Arabidopsis thaliana: one gene and its partner. The protein of the gene in region 1 interacts with the protein of each later gene in a biochemical or structural test. Each region holds a gene or a part of one and is shown in the gene's direction. Other genes may lie near its edges.

Evidence for each region.
Region 2: the proteins of AT1G74360 (region 1) and AT2G02780 form a complex in vitro, tested with the Arabidopsis thaliana proteins (one large-scale study listed by BioGRID).

The regions. Positions count from the first base shown.
Region 1 is NC_003070.9:27,948,808-27,958,614, forward strand, and holds AT1G74360 (Leucine-rich repeat protein kinase family protein), read left to right. Parts: upstream 1-5,321; 5' UTR 5,322-5,491; coding exon 5,492-5,579; exon of another isoform or gene 5,580-5,871; coding exon 5,872-9,104; 3' UTR 9,105-9,307; downstream 9,308-9,807. Other genes in the region: AT1G74350 (Intron maturase, type II family protein), read right to left, coding at 215-2,476; AT1G74370 (RING/U-box superfamily protein), read right to left, coding at 9,393-9,807.
Region 2 is NC_003071.7:778,884-787,607, reverse strand, and holds AT2G02780 (Leucine-rich repeat protein kinase family protein), read left to right. Parts: upstream 1-2,685; 5' UTR 2,686-2,961; coding exon 2,962-4,222; intron 4,223-4,312; coding exon 4,313-4,434; intron 4,435-4,509; coding exon 4,510-4,756; intron 4,757-4,843; coding exon 4,844-5,037; intron 5,038-5,103; coding exon 5,104-5,141; coding exon of another isoform or gene 5,142-5,166; exon of another isoform or gene 5,167-5,220; coding exon 5,221-5,335; coding exon of another isoform or gene 5,336-5,398; exon of another isoform or gene 5,399-5,424; coding exon 5,425-5,676; 3' UTR 5,677-5,934; downstream 5,935-8,724. Other genes in the region: AT2G02770 (4'-phosphopantetheinyl transferase domain protein), read left to right, coding at 7,822-7,921, 8,013-8,080, 8,165-8,510.

The DNA.
Region 1 (9,807 bases):
GACCAGCTAATGCCATGGTTTTATGTTCTGAGGGTATGCAAACTGTGCTACTGCACAAGGCCTCTAGAAATTAAAACATTTGAAGAACGATAATCACCGGACATATGATTTGCTAGACATCAGATACACAAAGCTCAACAACTGCCTAAAACGAATCAGAGTTGACCTAGGAAGAATCAAACACTTGCAAGACTCTTGTCGTGGAGAGTAGTAATCATCTCCAGGCTCCAAAATCAACAGCTTGAAGTGATATTTGACCTATATACAGATCTTTGAGGTGTTGCTTACACAGCCCTATTCTCCTTCCATTTAAGCTAGAAGGAATACAAACAGAAAATCCAGTTTTCCAACCTGGAAACTTCTGTCTCTCCATTGCATGTAAAGTATAAACAGCAGGTGCAGCCATCGAACAACCAATTACGAAGCAATTGCAAGGCCTTGATTCGCTCACTAATCGAGCTAAAGACAATAAACACAAACCACTATTGGAAAGGCCGTATGTTAGATGTTCATCCCTGTCAAAAGCAGGAGAATCTAGTTTCTCATGTTGTATTTCCTGTTCTATATCTTCAGCAGAGGGAATAGTGCTCAGTTCCAAATCAAGGCGTTTCTCTATTTCATTTTCATGTATTCGATATTTTGCTGCCAAAGTACGGATGCATGACATTCTGATCTGATTATCAATAAGAGCCTTTATCTCATCAAAATTACTACAGCCTTCATACCAAATCACCCATCGCCGAACAAGTCCTGAATACCAATCAATTATTTGGGCAGTATCTAGCAAAATAAGCATAGAATTTGAACGAGCATAACCCTTGGCTGTTATTAATCCGTAGCGATAAAGACGCCTTCCTATAGCATTAGTCGGAGCGACAACATCACCAAAGAAAACAGGTCTATCATGAGATTGTGGACATGGCAAAAGCGCTTCCAGATTAGCCGTCTCTGATGAAACATATGCCGCAGCAGCGTTTTGGAACTTGTAAAACGCATCTCTTAGTTCTTGAGGAACAGTAGGTTCTACAACATGCTTGGACAAGACAAACTCCTCGCTTCTATCTGCAGAGGTTCTTAGCACGTCCTCCATCCATATTCTAAGCAAGATCTTATACCAATGATCTGTTTCCATGCCTGCCTTTCTGTGGCAAGATATTTGACTCAAGGTAGAGTTACTATCCGCCAAACCTTTGATTTCTGACTCTTTGACTTTCTTCAATCCATGTCCTAACCATTTCTTTCCAATTCTAACTGTACCTAAGGTCCAAGCCTCTTCTTTCTGCAATGCAAAGAGCCTAACCTTCTCCTTTAACTTGTGAACAGCTTTGACAGTGGGACTCTCCCTAACATTTTTCCTAACCAAGGTACCCAAAACACGAAGCCCACTGGTCGCTTCACATGGTGACGGGTCTGTCTCATCTGTGATGTCCAAATGCAGTGAGTTCCGTAAGAAACCTATAGCTTCAGATCTGATATCACTTGCAACTTTCTTGGGACCAGACACAGAGAAATATATCTCATCCATAAATCTGCAGCAATAAACTCTGAGTGCAACGTCCTGCTCTGTAGTACTTTTCAAACCTTGTTCTCCGGCTTGCCTCCTAAACCAGGAACGAAGTTTTGAGCCTGGGCTATCTTCATCAGTCTTTGAATCAAGACCAAGGGCTTCATGCCTCATTGAGATTCTATAAAATTCATGATCAAACCGATCAAGATATATGTTCATTAATACACGGGACAACACCCCTTCTTGTGGAAGACCATGGCCCTTGGGAAATCCTCCGAACTCGAGATTGAGCACCCGGGCTTCAAACATAGAACGGAGTAAGATGCTTAAACTGCTGTCTTCTACTTTTTCCTCCATTACAGAGAGCAAGTTCTCGAAAACAGAAACATCAAGTTTTTTGTTCAGGCTCAAAGTGAAACACCAATCCGAACGAGAAATATTGTTGTTGATGTACTTCAATGCAGAGGCACGTCCCCTTCCGCTTCGACAACTATGTGAAATCTTAGAAAAATGAGGACTGAAAACAACTTCAAGAACTATTCTGATAGCCTCTTGGACAACTTTAAGAGCTACACTAGGCAAGACAAGGACCTCTTTTGTTTTATCTCTAGCCACAATCGAAAACGTATTTGAAGCAACATCAAACACCCCACTAGAGAGCTCTTCTGCAATAGAATCAAACGCGACACTACCATTTCTTTCTGTTATAGAAACATTGGAGTTAAGCCTAATACAATCATAAGCATCCCGGAGAGTTTCAGGCCTTGCAATCACCTTCTTCAACAGATCACTAAACTTCCCATTGATGCACTGCTCTTTGACTCTTTTCTTCAACCGGAGTTCAAGAGATCGTTTTAGTTCCATACGACTTCTAGGTTTGCTATCATCATCAACATGAGAAGAAGATTCTTCTACAAGAGAAGCTAATTCCCCAGCTAGTGAAAACATTCCAGTTTCCTTACTAGCCATTTCTGCATTATCTGTTGCAAGCAGAGCCGATTTGGGAAACGTGGAGATTGTGCGACTCCATAAGCCCCGTGGGATTAGGGTTTCTATGTAACATCGGCGCAACAAATCTAAAACTAGGTTCCGTTTCCTAAACATCAAGTTAAAATTCCGATTCCTAATTCTAAAACCTATGCGATTATATCCCGACTAAGCCAGTACAAAGTTTCTACAATGAAACGGGACGAATCAGGTTTTTATCAATCTCTTTGCTTAAATCAACACAGAAATGGAAGGAAACTTACGTTCAGGGATGCGAAAAGCACGATTGGTCTGAGAGATAGAAATCGAAGAAGCTCTTGCTTTGCACAGTGAATTACTCGAGATTGAGAAGAAGAACTCGTGACTTGAGAATAGGAAGGAAGGAGGGACTATTTATGAAATAACATAAACTATTGCTTACTTCTATAAATTACATTTTGACACCTTTAGTTGTAGAATATTTATGTTTTAAACATTTTTTTTATAACAGACTTACAGGTAATTTAGTACGCAACAATGAGGCAGTTTCATTTACCATGAAAGCGCAAGAAAAAATATAGACAAAAATATCATTAAATGATAAATGATTAAATTAATAAATTCGTTAATTCAGTTTGATAATTAAGATAGAAACATGAGTGATCAGCTCTTCCTACGCGGTGGACCGACATCATCTACTTGTTCAATTGTTTATCAGTTTCCTATCAATTGACACTTTCTTATATGTAAAATGCGTTGCTTCATGCTTTGCTTATATTCATTCCCCCACGAATACAATAATATCTAATATTGAGCTACGTTTTAAGTTTACGTACCCCCTAAACCTCTAATTGTTTAAAAGGTTTCAAGGTTCAAGAACTCGGGTTTGGGTCGGATTAGAGCGAGTGGATATATTAGTACCTACAATATATACTTTCTCTTATTGGATCCAAAGCTATTTAATTTGGTGTCGTGCATGTGCAAGTTATTTTAGGTGATAATGTTGAATTTGACCAATGGAAACATCAAAACAACAAATGGGTACGCAGAGAAAAACCAAAACGCACAAACGACGTGGCTTTCAAGTGGCATGGACTTTTAAATTTCATAGCAAAATTTTCTTTTGTTTGGTCGCCTTAGTTGTTTGCCTTAGTTGTTTTGGCATGAACAATGTTGGCTCAATACCATTCACACGTCCTTAGTGTTGTTGAATGGACCATTGTTTTTTTATCGGAGGTTTCCTTTAGTTTTTTCTTTTCAACTGGTGGAAGTTAATAACTTTAAAATTGGTACCACTTTGATTTTTTTAGAATTTTGATCATTATGCATTCTAGTGTCAGAAGACACAACATGGATGCTTGAAACATATGTGGCAGAAGAGAGTGATTCAACTTCCTACTATGATTAGTTGAAGCTTGAAGCTACTACTGTATCTTTAAAGTAATAAAATTGAAGTTATAGAAATATGACTGTAGTTGATAAACATATAAGTAGACTATTTTTAAGATAAAAAATATTAGATGATTATCCTAAATCTTGTTGCATATCATCTATCAACAACTTTGAAAGTTTGATTTGTTTCTGAGTAATACTACTTTTTGCAGATTTTGTTTCTAATGACACAAAATATCATTTTAGCAATTAACTATAATTCCTTTTTTATATTGTTCTCTTTATGGAAGAGAATAGTAGCCTCTGAATTTTCTAATTCAAAAAAATATCAATGGTCTATCACGAAGTGTTATACTATTCAATTCAAAATTAATTGAATACTTAGACTAATCAAGGTAAAATAATACACGCATTTGACTCTTATCACGAAGAAAAAAAAAAGGTAAGAGAAAAATATTTATAACGGGAAAATAAATAACAAACAAAAGAAACGAATAAGATGAGATTTAATGATTAACAATGATTTAAAAAAAAAACATTGGTCAAAGCACGAAGTAAGTCAACTAGTGCCGTCCATATGAATCACATTGGACCCCACCATATACATGTATATTTTGTTAACCTCTTTTTAGTAAAATATCTTTAATTTTTTGAACATTTCAAAATGATGCCAATTTCTTCTCTTTAGTCGTCTAAAACTTAGTTAAATAACACTTTTAAATCTCTGGAGAAGCAAATATATCTTTTAATGCTACATAAGTCACATTCACCATATATTGTATGTAACGTAATTTTTAGATTTACATTATGCAAAAGTTTTATCTATTATCATAAACTTACCAACTCTGACACGAAGTCAAACTACTCTGGACCGGTCAACTTAGATGTCACAACTGCTCACCTAATTGTTGCCCTCGCGAGTTAACTTAAATAAAGTAATCTAATTTTATGGTTTTTTTAACCAAATCACACGATTAAAATTTCTAAACTCACACATACTTCAATATATATAAGTTCAAACTGTCAAAATTTATTAAATGTTACCCACTAGGATAAGTTCTTGAGTGCGCAAGTGGTACCGTACAAATTAAAAGAAAAGCTAATGGTGAATCAAAAACAATATTTGTAATTGTTTACTTTTTCTAAGGAGAACTAAAATGAGTTATGGTTTAGTTTTAGTCATATGAGACTCATCTAGTCGATAAAACATCAATTTTGTTTTTGTTCTAAACGACTTCAAAGTTCAATTTTTGAAATATTCAACAAATGCGGTATTTTTCCTTAAGAAATTTTTGATAAAGACTAGTAACGTAATATATACGTTTATACGGGTCAAAATTAGCATAATATGATGACTCAATTTCACCTTTTTGTAATTAATTTTTGTGTTTGAGGAAAAGTCTAATAAATAGGAATAAATCTGTGTGATGTTCAAAGTTTTTCAGTTGCTTGGTCTACGTGCGGGCTGCTTTGTGTTTTTTTCCAACTTCTCTTTTTCTCAAATCTCTTTCCACACATGAATTTCCATGAAATTCATCTTCTTCCCCGATAATTTCCACATCTTCTCGAGGAACATCGCAGAGGACAGTAAAGAAGCAAACCAAGAAGACCAAGTGGAGGAGGACGATGACTATGGTGACGCGTGTGATCATGACGGATGATGATTCTCAGTCACTTTGCTTTCTTTGTTTCTTACTCTTCTTTTTCATCACTGGTAATTTCTTCTCTTCTTCTGTTGTTTGAATTTGAGTTTCGTTGAGAGTTTTTGGGAATTGTAATGTCTTCTCTTCTTGAGTATGAGTTTTGGGTTTCTGTTTCTTTCACGTTTCCTTCAAATGGGTTCAGGGTTTTAAAATTTGACGTGATTTTTTGGGGGTTTCATTGCTTTCATCAATTCAAGGTTTTACATTGTACGTAAATGAATCGCAAAGTTTTAATTTTTACTCTGTTTGATGTCGTTGATGAGTATTTTAGCTGAGTTTTTTGATGTTTTTCTTCTATGGCAGCTATAGCAGTGGCTGGAGATTCTCTGGACAGTGATAGAGAAGTCTTGTTAAGCCTAAAATCGTACCTTGAATCACGGAACCCACAGAACCGAGGACTATACACGGAATGGAAAATGGAGAACCAAGATGTTGTGTGTCAATGGCCTGGAATCATATGTACACCTCAGAGAAGTAGAGTTACAGGGATCAATCTAACTGATTCCACCATTTCAGGTCCTCTATTCAAGAACTTCTCCGCTTTAACGGAGCTCACATATCTCGATTTATCAAGGAATACGATCGAAGGGGAGATTCCAGATGACTTGAGCCGTTGTCACAACTTAAAGCATCTGAATCTTTCTCATAATATCCTTGAAGGAGAGCTAAGTTTACCCGGGTTGTCAAATCTTGAGGTTCTTGATCTTTCGTTGAATAGGATTACGGGTGATATTCAGTCTAGCTTCCCATTGTTCTGCAACAGTTTGGTTGTTGCAAATCTGTCGACCAACAACTTTACTGGAAGAATCGATGACATCTTCAACGGGTGTAGGAATCTCAAGTATGTTGACTTCAGTTCCAATAGATTCAGTGGAGAAGTGTGGACTGGTTTTGGGAGGCTGGTCGAGTTTTCAGTTGCTGATAATCATCTCTCCGGGAATATCTCTGCTTCAATGTTCAGGGGGAACTGTACTTTGCAAATGTTGGATTTGTCTGGGAACGCTTTTGGTGGGGAATTTCCAGGCCAAGTTTCGAATTGCCAGAATCTAAATGTACTGAATCTTTGGGGAAACAAGTTCACAGGGAACATTCCAGCTGAGATTGGTTCCATATCCTCTCTCAAAGGTTTGTACTTGGGGAATAATACATTTTCTCGAGACATACCGGAAACTCTCCTGAACTTGACCAACTTGGTGTTTCTGGATTTGAGCAGAAACAAATTTGGAGGAGACATTCAAGAAATCTTTGGGAGATTCACGCAAGTAAAGTATCTAGTCTTGCATGCAAACTCATACGTAGGAGGCATCAATTCTTCCAACATCCTCAAGTTACCCAATCTTTCAAGGCTAGATTTGGGCTACAACAATTTCTCGGGACAGTTACCTACTGAAATTTCTCAGATACAGAGTTTGAAGTTCTTGATTCTTGCTTATAATAACTTCAGTGGCGATATACCACAGGAGTATGGGAACATGCCGGGGCTTCAAGCACTTGATCTCTCCTTTAACAAGCTGACCGGTTCGATACCAGCTTCATTTGGGAAATTGACCTCTCTTTTGTGGCTAATGCTTGCAAACAACTCTCTATCAGGAGAAATCCCTCGAGAGATTGGCAACTGCACAAGCCTTTTGTGGTTTAACGTGGCAAACAACCAGCTCTCTGGTAGATTCCATCCTGAATTGACTAGAATGGGGAGTAATCCTTCTCCAACATTTGAAGTGAATAGGCAAAACAAAGACAAGATAATTGCTGGTTCTGGTGAATGCTTGGCGATGAAGAGATGGATTCCAGCGGAGTTCCCTCCGTTCAACTTTGTATACGCAATTCTAACCAAAAAGAGTTGCAGAAGCCTATGGGACCATGTTCTCAAAGGGTACGGTCTCTTTCCTGTCTGTTCTGCTGGTTCCACGGTACGCACGCTTAAAATTTCAGCCTATCTTCAGCTCAGTGGAAATAAGTTTTCAGGTGAGATTCCTGCAAGCATCTCTCAGATGGACAGGCTGAGCACACTACATTTGGGTTTCAATGAGTTTGAGGGGAAACTGCCTCCAGAGATAGGACAATTGCCTCTTGCATTCCTCAACCTTACTCGAAACAATTTCTCGGGCGAGATTCCTCAAGAAATCGGAAATCTGAAGTGCCTGCAGAATCTTGATCTGTCTTTCAACAATTTCTCTGGAAACTTTCCAACGAGTTTGAATGACTTGAATGAGCTGAGTAAGTTCAACATCTCATATAACCCTTTCATTTCTGGCGCGATACCAACAACAGGACAAGTAGCAACCTTTGACAAAGACTCCTTTCTTGGAAATCCGCTGCTGCGGTTTCCTAGTTTCTTCAACCAATCAGGGAACAACACGAGGAAGATTTCCAACCAAGTCCTAGGAAACAGGCCAAGAACTCTTCTTTTGATTTGGATTTCCTTGGCTCTTGCATTGGCGTTTATTGCATGTTTAGTGGTATCAGGTATTGTACTTATGGTTGTTAAGGCTTCAAGGGAAGCAGAAATCGATCTCTTAGATGGGTCGAAAACCAGACATGACATGACTTCCAGTTCAGGTGGATCATCGCCATGGCTATCAGGAAAAATCAAGGTCATTCGCTTAGACAAATCAACTTTCACATACGCTGACATTCTGAAAGCAACCAGTAACTTCTCTGAGGAGAGAGTGGTAGGTAGGGGAGGCTATGGAACTGTTTACAGAGGCGTATTGCCTGATGGAAGAGAAGTTGCAGTCAAGAAGCTTCAGAGGGAAGGCACAGAAGCAGAGAAAGAGTTCAGAGCTGAAATGGAAGTTCTAAGTGCCAACGCATTTGGAGATTGGGCACATCCGAACCTCGTGAGGCTATATGGATGGTGCCTAGATGGGTCAGAGAAAATCTTGGTGCACGAATACATGGGAGGCGGGAGCTTAGAGGAGCTCATCACAGACAAAACAAAACTTCAATGGAAGAAACGTATTGATATAGCCACAGATGTAGCAAGGGGATTAGTGTTTTTACACCACGAATGCTACCCTTCCATCGTTCACAGAGACGTCAAAGCCAGTAACGTTCTTTTGGATAAACACGGGAATGCGAGAGTGACGGATTTTGGACTAGCAAGACTCTTAAATGTAGGAGATAGCCATGTGAGCACAGTGATTGCAGGCACAATCGGGTATGTAGCTCCCGAGTATGGACAAACTTGGCAAGCCACCACAAGAGGAGATGTTTACAGCTACGGAGTATTGACCATGGAACTCGCGACGGGTAGAAGAGCTGTTGATGGAGGAGAAGAGTGTTTGGTCGAATGGGCAAGACGTGTAATGACAGGTAACATGACAGCCAAAGGTTCACCAATAACCCTGTCAGGGACCAAACCAGGGAACGGAGCTGAGCAAATGACTGAGCTACTAAAGATTGGTGTGAAGTGTACAGCTGATCATCCTCAGGCAAGACCAAACATGAAAGAAGTTCTAGCTATGTTGGTTAAGATATCCGGTAAAGCAGAGCTCTTCAATGGCTTATCTTCACAAGGTTACATAGAAATGTAAAAATCTTTCTTTCTTTTCTTCTTTCAGATTTATTATACAGAACAACAGAGTTTTCTTCTTCACCATTTTTCGTTTCATTGTTTCTGATTCTTCTTGTACACAGAACCTCATTGTTATCAGACAGATAGGGATAGAGAAAGGTAGTTTTGTTCGCAATGTACAGAGACACAATCTGAAAATAAAGATCTTCTCTTCTTCTTGTCTATATTGAGTGTAAACAACGTTGGCTCTATCTCGTGTTTCTTACAAGTCAGGAAACATACAGGAAGAAAGAAACAGTACAATGAGTCAGGTTGCAATCTCTCTGATCAGCCAGTTTAAGCTCGGGAAGGCAAAATAAAGGACGAGAAACGACGGGACAGCCAAAGCAAACGTAACAAAGAAATAAACCCCGAGAACTGCAGCACTCACAGGGATTGCATATAAAGCCATCAACAGGAATATGACTACCAGAGGAAACTTAGCCAACAAATGAGCAACAAGAGCCATTGACTTACGTACCGAGTCATGGAGCCTCCCAGTTCTGAAGAATCCTCTGGTCACACCATTCCACCAGCTGCGATTGTCCAGCAACCCTTCATCACCCAAGGCGGTATTACTCACTCCATCACACCTATTTCTCAAGTCTCTCTGCCCTGAAGCAACCCTTTTGTTGTCGCTGGGTGCCTCCGATCTGGAGCCATTCATGCTTTCTACCATCCAC
Region 2 (8,724 bases), on another chromosome or scaffold:
AGGGTGGTACAATAAGTCAATCAACCAAAGTGGATGAACACATAATGACCAAAAAAAAAAGAAACTTTCTTTTTTCTTTTTATTGTAGTAATGAATTATTACTACGTTAACTATGACATTATCTATAGTACACACTAAATTTTATTAGAATCATCGTTCTGTCACCATCTAAATTAAAATTAAATTATTAGAATGCTAAGTGTCATATCATATGATTTAGCTATAAATAGTTAACCAAAAAAAGAAGCTATAAACATATAATACTTTATAATCTTCACTTCATTTACAAAAATATACTGCTAAAACTGTAATTTGGTATAAGAACAACTGATACTTGAATTTCAAATTATTTAATTAACAGATCAAGTCGAATATTTTATAAATATTATCAAAAGCTGATTAAAACAACAGAAAGACTCTTTTCATTCTCGTTACTCAAATCGCTCTGTTGACGTACATAAACAATTGTGTTTACTCCTCTAAGTCTATCTCATATTGACTTACATAAACAATTGCCCAACAAATGTCTATATTCAATTAAAAGCAACAAAGAAAAAACACTAACTAAAAAAATAGAATCATAATCTGAAACGAAAACTAACTTTTTCTTTGTCTCAATGCCGATCAATTAGCCTCCATGAGCAGTAATCCTACAATTATAAAGAAACGTATTATAATGGTTAAAACTCTTGTCATCAATCCAAAAACACTCATACTTAATCTTAGATCTCAATTTGAGATAAATTCGAAATAAGCCTAGATTTCTAAGTTACAACAAATTTTATTGATTTTAATCAAATAATAAAAACATATAAATAATTATTTCATTCACATAAATATATCTAAGAAAGATAGACACACATAATTAACAAAAGATAAACTAAATCGTATTAGAGTCATCATTTTGTCACCATCCAAATTCAAATTAAACTATTAGAATGTTAAGTGTCATATCATGTGGTTTAGCTATAAACATGTAATACTTTATAATCATTTTAAGTTATTTCTTATTACCATCATTCACTGGAATTTGTTTTACAACTTTTGTACAGTTGATCTTTAATAAATGAGCTAAAACTAAATAGAAGATTTTAAATTTTGATGATTGTCTATATATTTAGTGTAAAACAGTAAATGAAAGGCAAAAAAGCTGCAAATCAGATTCTGAATAAAAAACATGTTATGACGTCTAATCAAAGTTTTAGGATCCGAGAAGTTTACTTTTCTTGAAACACAATAATCGAAAGTTTTGTTTAATCAAAAGAAGCTCATAAATAAATTCTAGGATCCTAAATAGCTAAGTAAAAAACAAACTGAAATAGATTACAATGAATTCATACATTACATTTTTGTAGTTTGAGACCCTAGAAATACGATCTTGTTCCTCCTCTTTTGTTTATAGGCTCAGTTTTAAACCTTAATAAATTAATAATCTCGGAACCGATAAATTCTAATTAATTTATAAAGGTATTAATTTATTAATAAATCTTATAGAGAGATTTTATTAATTTTGTAATTTTTTAAAATTTCTATGTGAGAAGTAGTTTTTGTCTTTATAATCAATGTCTTTCAAAAATAAATTACAAATAAAAAACCAATTGTTAAGTTAGTAAACAAAAAACACTTTGTTCAATATAGTAAAAATATTAGAAATGAACTCTACTAAAAATTTTATACAAATTTAAGAAAAATGAACAATACTAGAGTTAAATCCCACTAATTTAATTAAATATATATATATATATATTAATAAGTGTAAAATTATTAATTTATGATATTGATGAGATCATATGTTTACGTAAGAGTTTTTAAAAACTTATTATTTTATAATTTCATTGATTTGTGTTATTTATTACATTGAAAACGTCAAGAATTTATTAATTTGTAAAAATAGTAATTTATCGAGGATTAGTTTATAAATAATTTACTGTATTAGCATTCACAAGGAATAAGCATAGTACATATATGTCCCAATGTTAAGTAAATCATTTTTTGTATAATTACTTGTCAAAAAAAAAAAAAAAAAAAAAATCATATAGAAACTAAAATATTTGGAAATATATATGGACTCAAAGGTTGTACAATTTTGGGCCTAACCGTATTATATATAATATACGGGCTAAATGTTACACGTATGAAGCCCAAAATAACCTCTCTTTTTTTTTGTCAAACTTGATTTGTAATTGAATTTTAATAAAATTAAATAATTGAATTTTAATAAAAATTAAATAATTGAATTTTAAATGCATATTTTTCGATAAAAAAAAAATGTCTGTTGCAGAAAATATTAAATGATACTTTCGCAGTGACGATTATTCCAAGGCCGTTTGCATGTGCAGATGTGCTTGATCATATAAAATCCATTCAAATTTTCTAACATTAGTAAATGAACAGTTCATCAGAATAAAAGAAACAGCTCGACATTTGGTAGAATCTCTAACCACACTTTTAAAGAAAAGACACAAACCTAATGGCTTCTCTCTCTCTCTCGAAGACAAAACACGACATAAATTTCTTAATCCTCATTACCTATCACCGACAAGTAATGAAACATCTCTATAATCTTATCTGATCAATCATATATAACCAAAAGCACTTGTTTTACTAATAAAACAAAGCAAAAATCATGTGAAATACAAGTTCTTATTGTTAATTTGTTATAGTAGTAATCAAATCAAATAAATAAACATTTCATCTTCTTGGATTCATTGCAAAACAGTCTGTCAAGTTGAGGTTGTGCAATGTGCAGTAATGAACAAACAACCAAACCAAGTTTAAGAACTTAAAGATTGCATTTATTGCCTCCACCTTAATTGGCTTTTCTACTTTCATTTACTTCTTCTTCTTCTTCTCTTGATCCAAAGTTTTCCTCTACACTACCTATAGATCTGTCTTTGTTCCTAGAAAAATGATAACTTTCAGTGAGTTTCTGTTTCTCTAAAGGCAAAACACATCTTCACTATGCAGATTTCTCTTCAAATCCATTTATCTTCCTTCACTTTTCTTCTTCTTATTTTCCTTCTTCCAGTACTCTCTGAGTCTCAGGTAGCTTCAAGTGAATCACAAACTCTTCTTGAAATCCAGAAGCAACTACAATATCCACAGGTTCTTCAATCATGGACTGATACAACCAACTTCTGTCACATTCGTCCGTCTCCTTCCTTGAGAATCATCTGCCTCCATGGTCACGTAACAGAGTTAACCGTCACCGGGAACAGAACTAGTAAGCTCTCTGGAAGTTTTCATAAACTCTTCACTCTTCTTACACAACTATCGAGCTTAAAGACTTTGTCTCTTACTTCTCTCGGAATTTCTGGTTCTCTTTCTCCTAAGATCATCACTAAGCTATCACCGTCTCTTGAGTCTCTCAATCTTAGCTCTAATTTCATCTCTGGGAAGATTCCAGAAGAGATTGTGTCTTTGAAGAATCTGAAAAGCCTTGTTTTAAGAGACAATATGTTCTGGGGTTTTGTCTCTGATGATCTCAGAGGATTATCAAATCTTCAAGAGCTGGATTTGGGAGGTAATAAACTCGGTCCTGAAGTTCCTTCACTCCCAAGTAAGCTCACCACTGTTTCATTGAAGAACAACTCCTTTAGATCCAAGATTCCAGAACAGATCAAGAAGCTGAATAACCTTCAAAGTTTAGACCTTTCTTCCAACGAATTCACCGGGTCGATTCCAGAGTTTCTGTTTTCGATTCCTTCTCTTCAAATTCTCAGTTTGGATCAGAATCTGTTAAGCGGGTCACTTCCAAATTCTTCTTGCACCTCCTCAAAGATTATAACTTTAGACGTGTCTCACAATCTTTTAACTGGAAAGCTTCCTTCTTGCTACTCTTCAAAGAGTTTCAGTAATCAGACAGTGCTTTTCTCATTCAACTGCTTGTCTTTGATTGGCACTCCTAACGCGAAGTATCAGCGTCCGCTTTCTTTCTGTCAAAACCAAGCAAGCAAGGCAATAGCTGTGGAACCTATCCCCAAGGCTAAAGATAAAGATTCTGCAAGAATCAAACTCGGGTTAGTGATTTTGATAATCATCGGTGTGATCATCCTTGCAGCAATTTTGGTTCTGTTGGTTTTGATTGCCCTCAAAAGAAGAAGATCAAGATCAGAAGATGATCCTTTTGAAGTGAACAACAGCAACAATGAGAGACATGCCTCTGATAAAGTCTCTGTTTGCAGCACCACAACTGCCAGCTCTAAGTCATTACCAGATTCAAGTAAACAATGACTTATCTTATTAATACTTGGACACTTGAAACTGAGTCTTTCTCTAGCAAAAACCATTAACAGGATCTTTCTGAGTGTAGGACGTGTACCACAGACAATGAGATCTGCAGTGATTGGTTTGCCACCGTACCGCGTTTTCTCCTTGGAGGAACTGGAAGAAGCGACTAACGACTTTGATGCAGCTAGCCTGTTCTGCGAACAGGTAAAAACAAAAACTTGACTTGAGACTCTGGCGACGAACCTAATAGATTACTTAATATATTTGGTATTCGAACAGCTGTATAGAGGTTGTCTAAGAGAAGGCATACCAGTGACAGTGCGAGTTATCAAGCTGAAGCAGAAGAGCTTGCCACAAAGCTTAGCTCAACAGATGGAAGTTTTATCAAAGCTAAGGCATATGCATTTGGTTAGCGTTCTTGGACACTCCATTGCCAGTAACCAAGACCACAATCAACACGCTGGACACACCATCTTCATTGTTCAAGAATACATCTCTAGTGGATCATTGCGGGACTTTCTCACAAGTAATAATAACCTGAAAAAGATTAGAATATATATTCAGGTTTCCATAGACTCAAATGGTTATTCATTATGGGAATTTTTGTGATCAGACTGTAGGAAGAAAGAGGTACTGAAATGGCCTCAGAGAATGGCGATAGCAATAGGAGTCGCTCGAGGGATACAGTTCTTGCATATGGGAGTAGCACCAGGAATCTTTGGGAACAATTTGAAGATAGAGAACATCATGCTTGATGAAACACTCACAGTAAAAATCAGTGGCTATACTATTCCTTTACCATCCAAGGTATAAAACTTTGTTTTATTTCTTCTTCTATTAATTGAATCTAAGAAAATTTAATGGCATTTCTAGGTTGGAGAAGAGAGGCCTCAAGCCAAAAAACCTCGGAGGTTGTTGTTGTTTCTTAAGATATGATCAAATGTGTTCTCTTCTATCAAATTTTGAAACTTGTTAATGAATAATGTGCAGTAATGAAGATAGAGAGAAAGAAGATGTGTACCAGTTTGGAGTGATACTACTACAAATCATCACAGGGAAAGTAGTTGCTGCAGGATCTTCAGAGATGGGAAGTTTGAAGCTTCAGGTCTGTTCTGTTTCAGTCAGAACCTTTTCATCTTTAAGAATCCGACACGGCTTACAAATTTAGAACCTCAATGTTATTATTTCCTGCAGCTGGAGAACGGTTTGAGAGATGAACCATCAGTATTGAGCAGCTTAGCAGATCCATCTGTTAAAGGATCATATGCTTATGAGTCGTTGAGGACGACAGTAGAGTTTGCTATCAACTGTCTTTGCGAAGATCAGAGCAAGCGTCCTTCCATAGAAGACGTTGTGTGGAATCTACAGTATACAATTCAAGTGCAGCAAGGATGGAGACCAAGCAGTGGGAATCATGAATCATCCATGAAAGCAATATATGAATGAAATGATCATAAAGAGAGGCAAAAACTGTAGAAACAATAATAAGTTTCAAACAAGTCAAGATGTAGTTTCATGGACTACCTGAAATATCTTTTATTAGCTAACTTAGTAATCTGTGAATAAAAAGCAAAAGGAGTTGAAAAACACACAAAGACATGTAAGAGAGTGTGTCCAGCTTTGCTCGACAACATTGCAGACTCTTCTGTTGTATTCGCGCTTGCTTTCGCTGAACATTCGTGCATCTCTTAAAACAAATCAGCAGTCTACAATCTTGCTAACCTGCTTGATGAAGACATCAAAATCTTCAAAAACCTTCACAGGTTCTTTATAACAAGAATCTCTGTGCCTGGAATACTATAGAAAATCCCAAAAGTTACTGCAAACCTCTCACTATGCTCACGTCTAACCTCTCCATCTCAACCACACTCCGTGTTTCGGGCAATCTCCAATACAGAAGTCTCTACCTCATCCAGCATTCTATAAACTTCCTTTGTTATGACTTGTATCGCTAGCTAAAAACAAGTGCTTGTGTTCCACATAACTATAATAACCATAGCTATACCCAGGTTAGGTAAGATGTCGAAAACAGCAAGTGGCTTTGCCAAGTTACCTCACCTAGCATACATACTACTGATCAATGCATTTTCGCTCACAAAACAAATTTTGTTACAATACCATTGGCTTTTACTAGCTTCTTACTTCTTGACCAATCTCTTGAGCCTCCAAGATAGATAGGCACAAGAAGACAGGATCATGACAAACGCTCGATGATCACAAACACATACACACCAGCTTCCTTCATTCGAGTTTGATATGTGAGCTCTCGTAGACGCACGTTCCATGGCGTCGAGAAGCCACCGCAGCGACGGTCATGGATATTGGCACTTTCGATGAGCTTGGCGTGTGGGGTATTTGTTTATGTGTCTATGAACCATTTATTGGCAAAAGGGTATCGACCAAACAAGATGGTCCATGTGGATGAGCCTGGTTATAAGTTTTTGGCTGTGTTGTTTGAAGTTGTTGTCATTGCCATTGTTATGATATGGGACACTTGAAAAAAACACCAATTGACTCATTGATTTCTCAGGTTTGTAAAGAAAGGATGTTGATTTTGAATTGTTTATAGCAATCCTCGTATTGTAGTGTACTTTGTAGTTTGTAGCATCAAAAATAACAACAACAATAGTAGAAGAGATGTTTCTCTTTTTTTTTTTTTCGCCAGAAGAGATGTTTCTCTCTTATTCCATTTTGACAAGGTTTATCTTAACGGTACAGTATAAAGATGGGCCTATAATTGTTGAGTTGGGCCTGTAGTGGCCTTGTAGGTGTTGTTATTGGCTTCATTTGGGCCCGCCACTAGAACACCAAATGGACCAATGGGTGATTTATTTTGGATATCAGTAGACCAAAAATTATATCAAATTATAAATTTGGGTCTGATTTGTATCAGTGGACTGATATCTTTGATACTCAGTATCATGTGACGTTGCAGCATACGGTTGGTCAATATTTTCGCTCAAATCAGAGAAAAAAAAAATCTTTAGTAATCTTATGTTATAATATATTAATTTTTGAATTTGCAAAAAAAATTTTTTTATACTTAACCGGTCTCACCAATATAATCATATTTAGTAGGAGTATCATAAAAAATCTCAAATAAAAATCAAATATTATAAATAATACTAAAAAATTACTCATGATACTATATAAGTATCACCCCATATCATGCTCTTAGAATTGTGAAACTTATAAAACTGGTCTTTTTGTTAGGCAATGGTGAGGCTTTTTTACTTTCAGGTTTAAAAAACATGTTGAAGCATTAGAGTGTTGATGAATATAAGTTTCCCTAGTAAATAGTATCTTCAGTCTCAGTCGTGGAAGGTGTAGAAATGGGAAAATCTCATAGAAGAAGTAATTATGAGTCATCGTAAACTAGAAAGAAGACGAAAAGATAGCATTACGATAGTATTGATGACGTTCTGGTTTCGTAATTAAAGTGTTTTCATTTCCCAATACAAATGACTTTTGATATTTCTTCTCTAATAAAGAAAGTCGCTTATAAATCTCAATCATAGCGAGAAGTTTTCATTTCTTCTAAACTTATTCAAAACCCTAGTTTATTCTTACAATAATCCTTCTGATTTAGCTATGGAAGATTCCGGCATGAAATGTGTCTTTGTAACTACTAATATGGATACTCGTCTGGGCCTTCTCATGGACAAGGATGATACTGTATCTACATTCAAAGGTGACTCTTCATAATCTCTGTTTTTTTTTGTTTTTGAGTTTTGCATCTTTTCTAACGAAACTAATGTTTCTTTTTGTTTGTTTATATACAGAGAAAATCTGCAAAGAGCATGAACAGTGTTTCCCTAGTTTTGGAAACATCACTATCTCCGCTTTGAAGGTTACAATGTTTTCTTCATACACACTGACAGTTTTCTTGTTTAAGAAACAACAACTCAAGGAAGGTTTGTTTTTTGTTTTATAGGTTAACTGTTGCGGTCAACTTTATCATTTAGTTGATTCTCTGACTTTGAACACGGCTTTCCAAAGCAACGAATCGTTTCTTTTTGTTGATGTGCTGAGGGTTGAGGAGAAGGGTAAAATGCTGACTGGAGAAACTCCTTTGTCAAACCCTAGTTTACTTGAGAGAGAGACCAATGATCTGACTATTAAGGAAGCTCCGGTAACCCAAGCTGGTGATGATAAAACTAAAAAGAGGAAACTGAAAAGTTTGGATAGTACCAAAAGAAGTCATAAGAAACGATCTCTTGGGGATCAGTCAAGTGGAAAAGGAGAGGTTGAGTCTTTGGCAATGTCACCAACAGGAAAAGGTAACATCTGTTTTTTTTTCTTTCTCTATTGTGGTCTATGGAGTATATAGCTGATGTTATTGGAGAGTATTAGTCAAGTTACATTTGATTGTACGATCAGCTTTTATTAAGACATTATAAGGGTGATGTTATTCTTGAAGTAACGTTCGAAACTGAATTAGCTGAGAGGCGTGAGACTGTGAGAGTGCCCTTAATCTGTTTCTATGCTCCATAG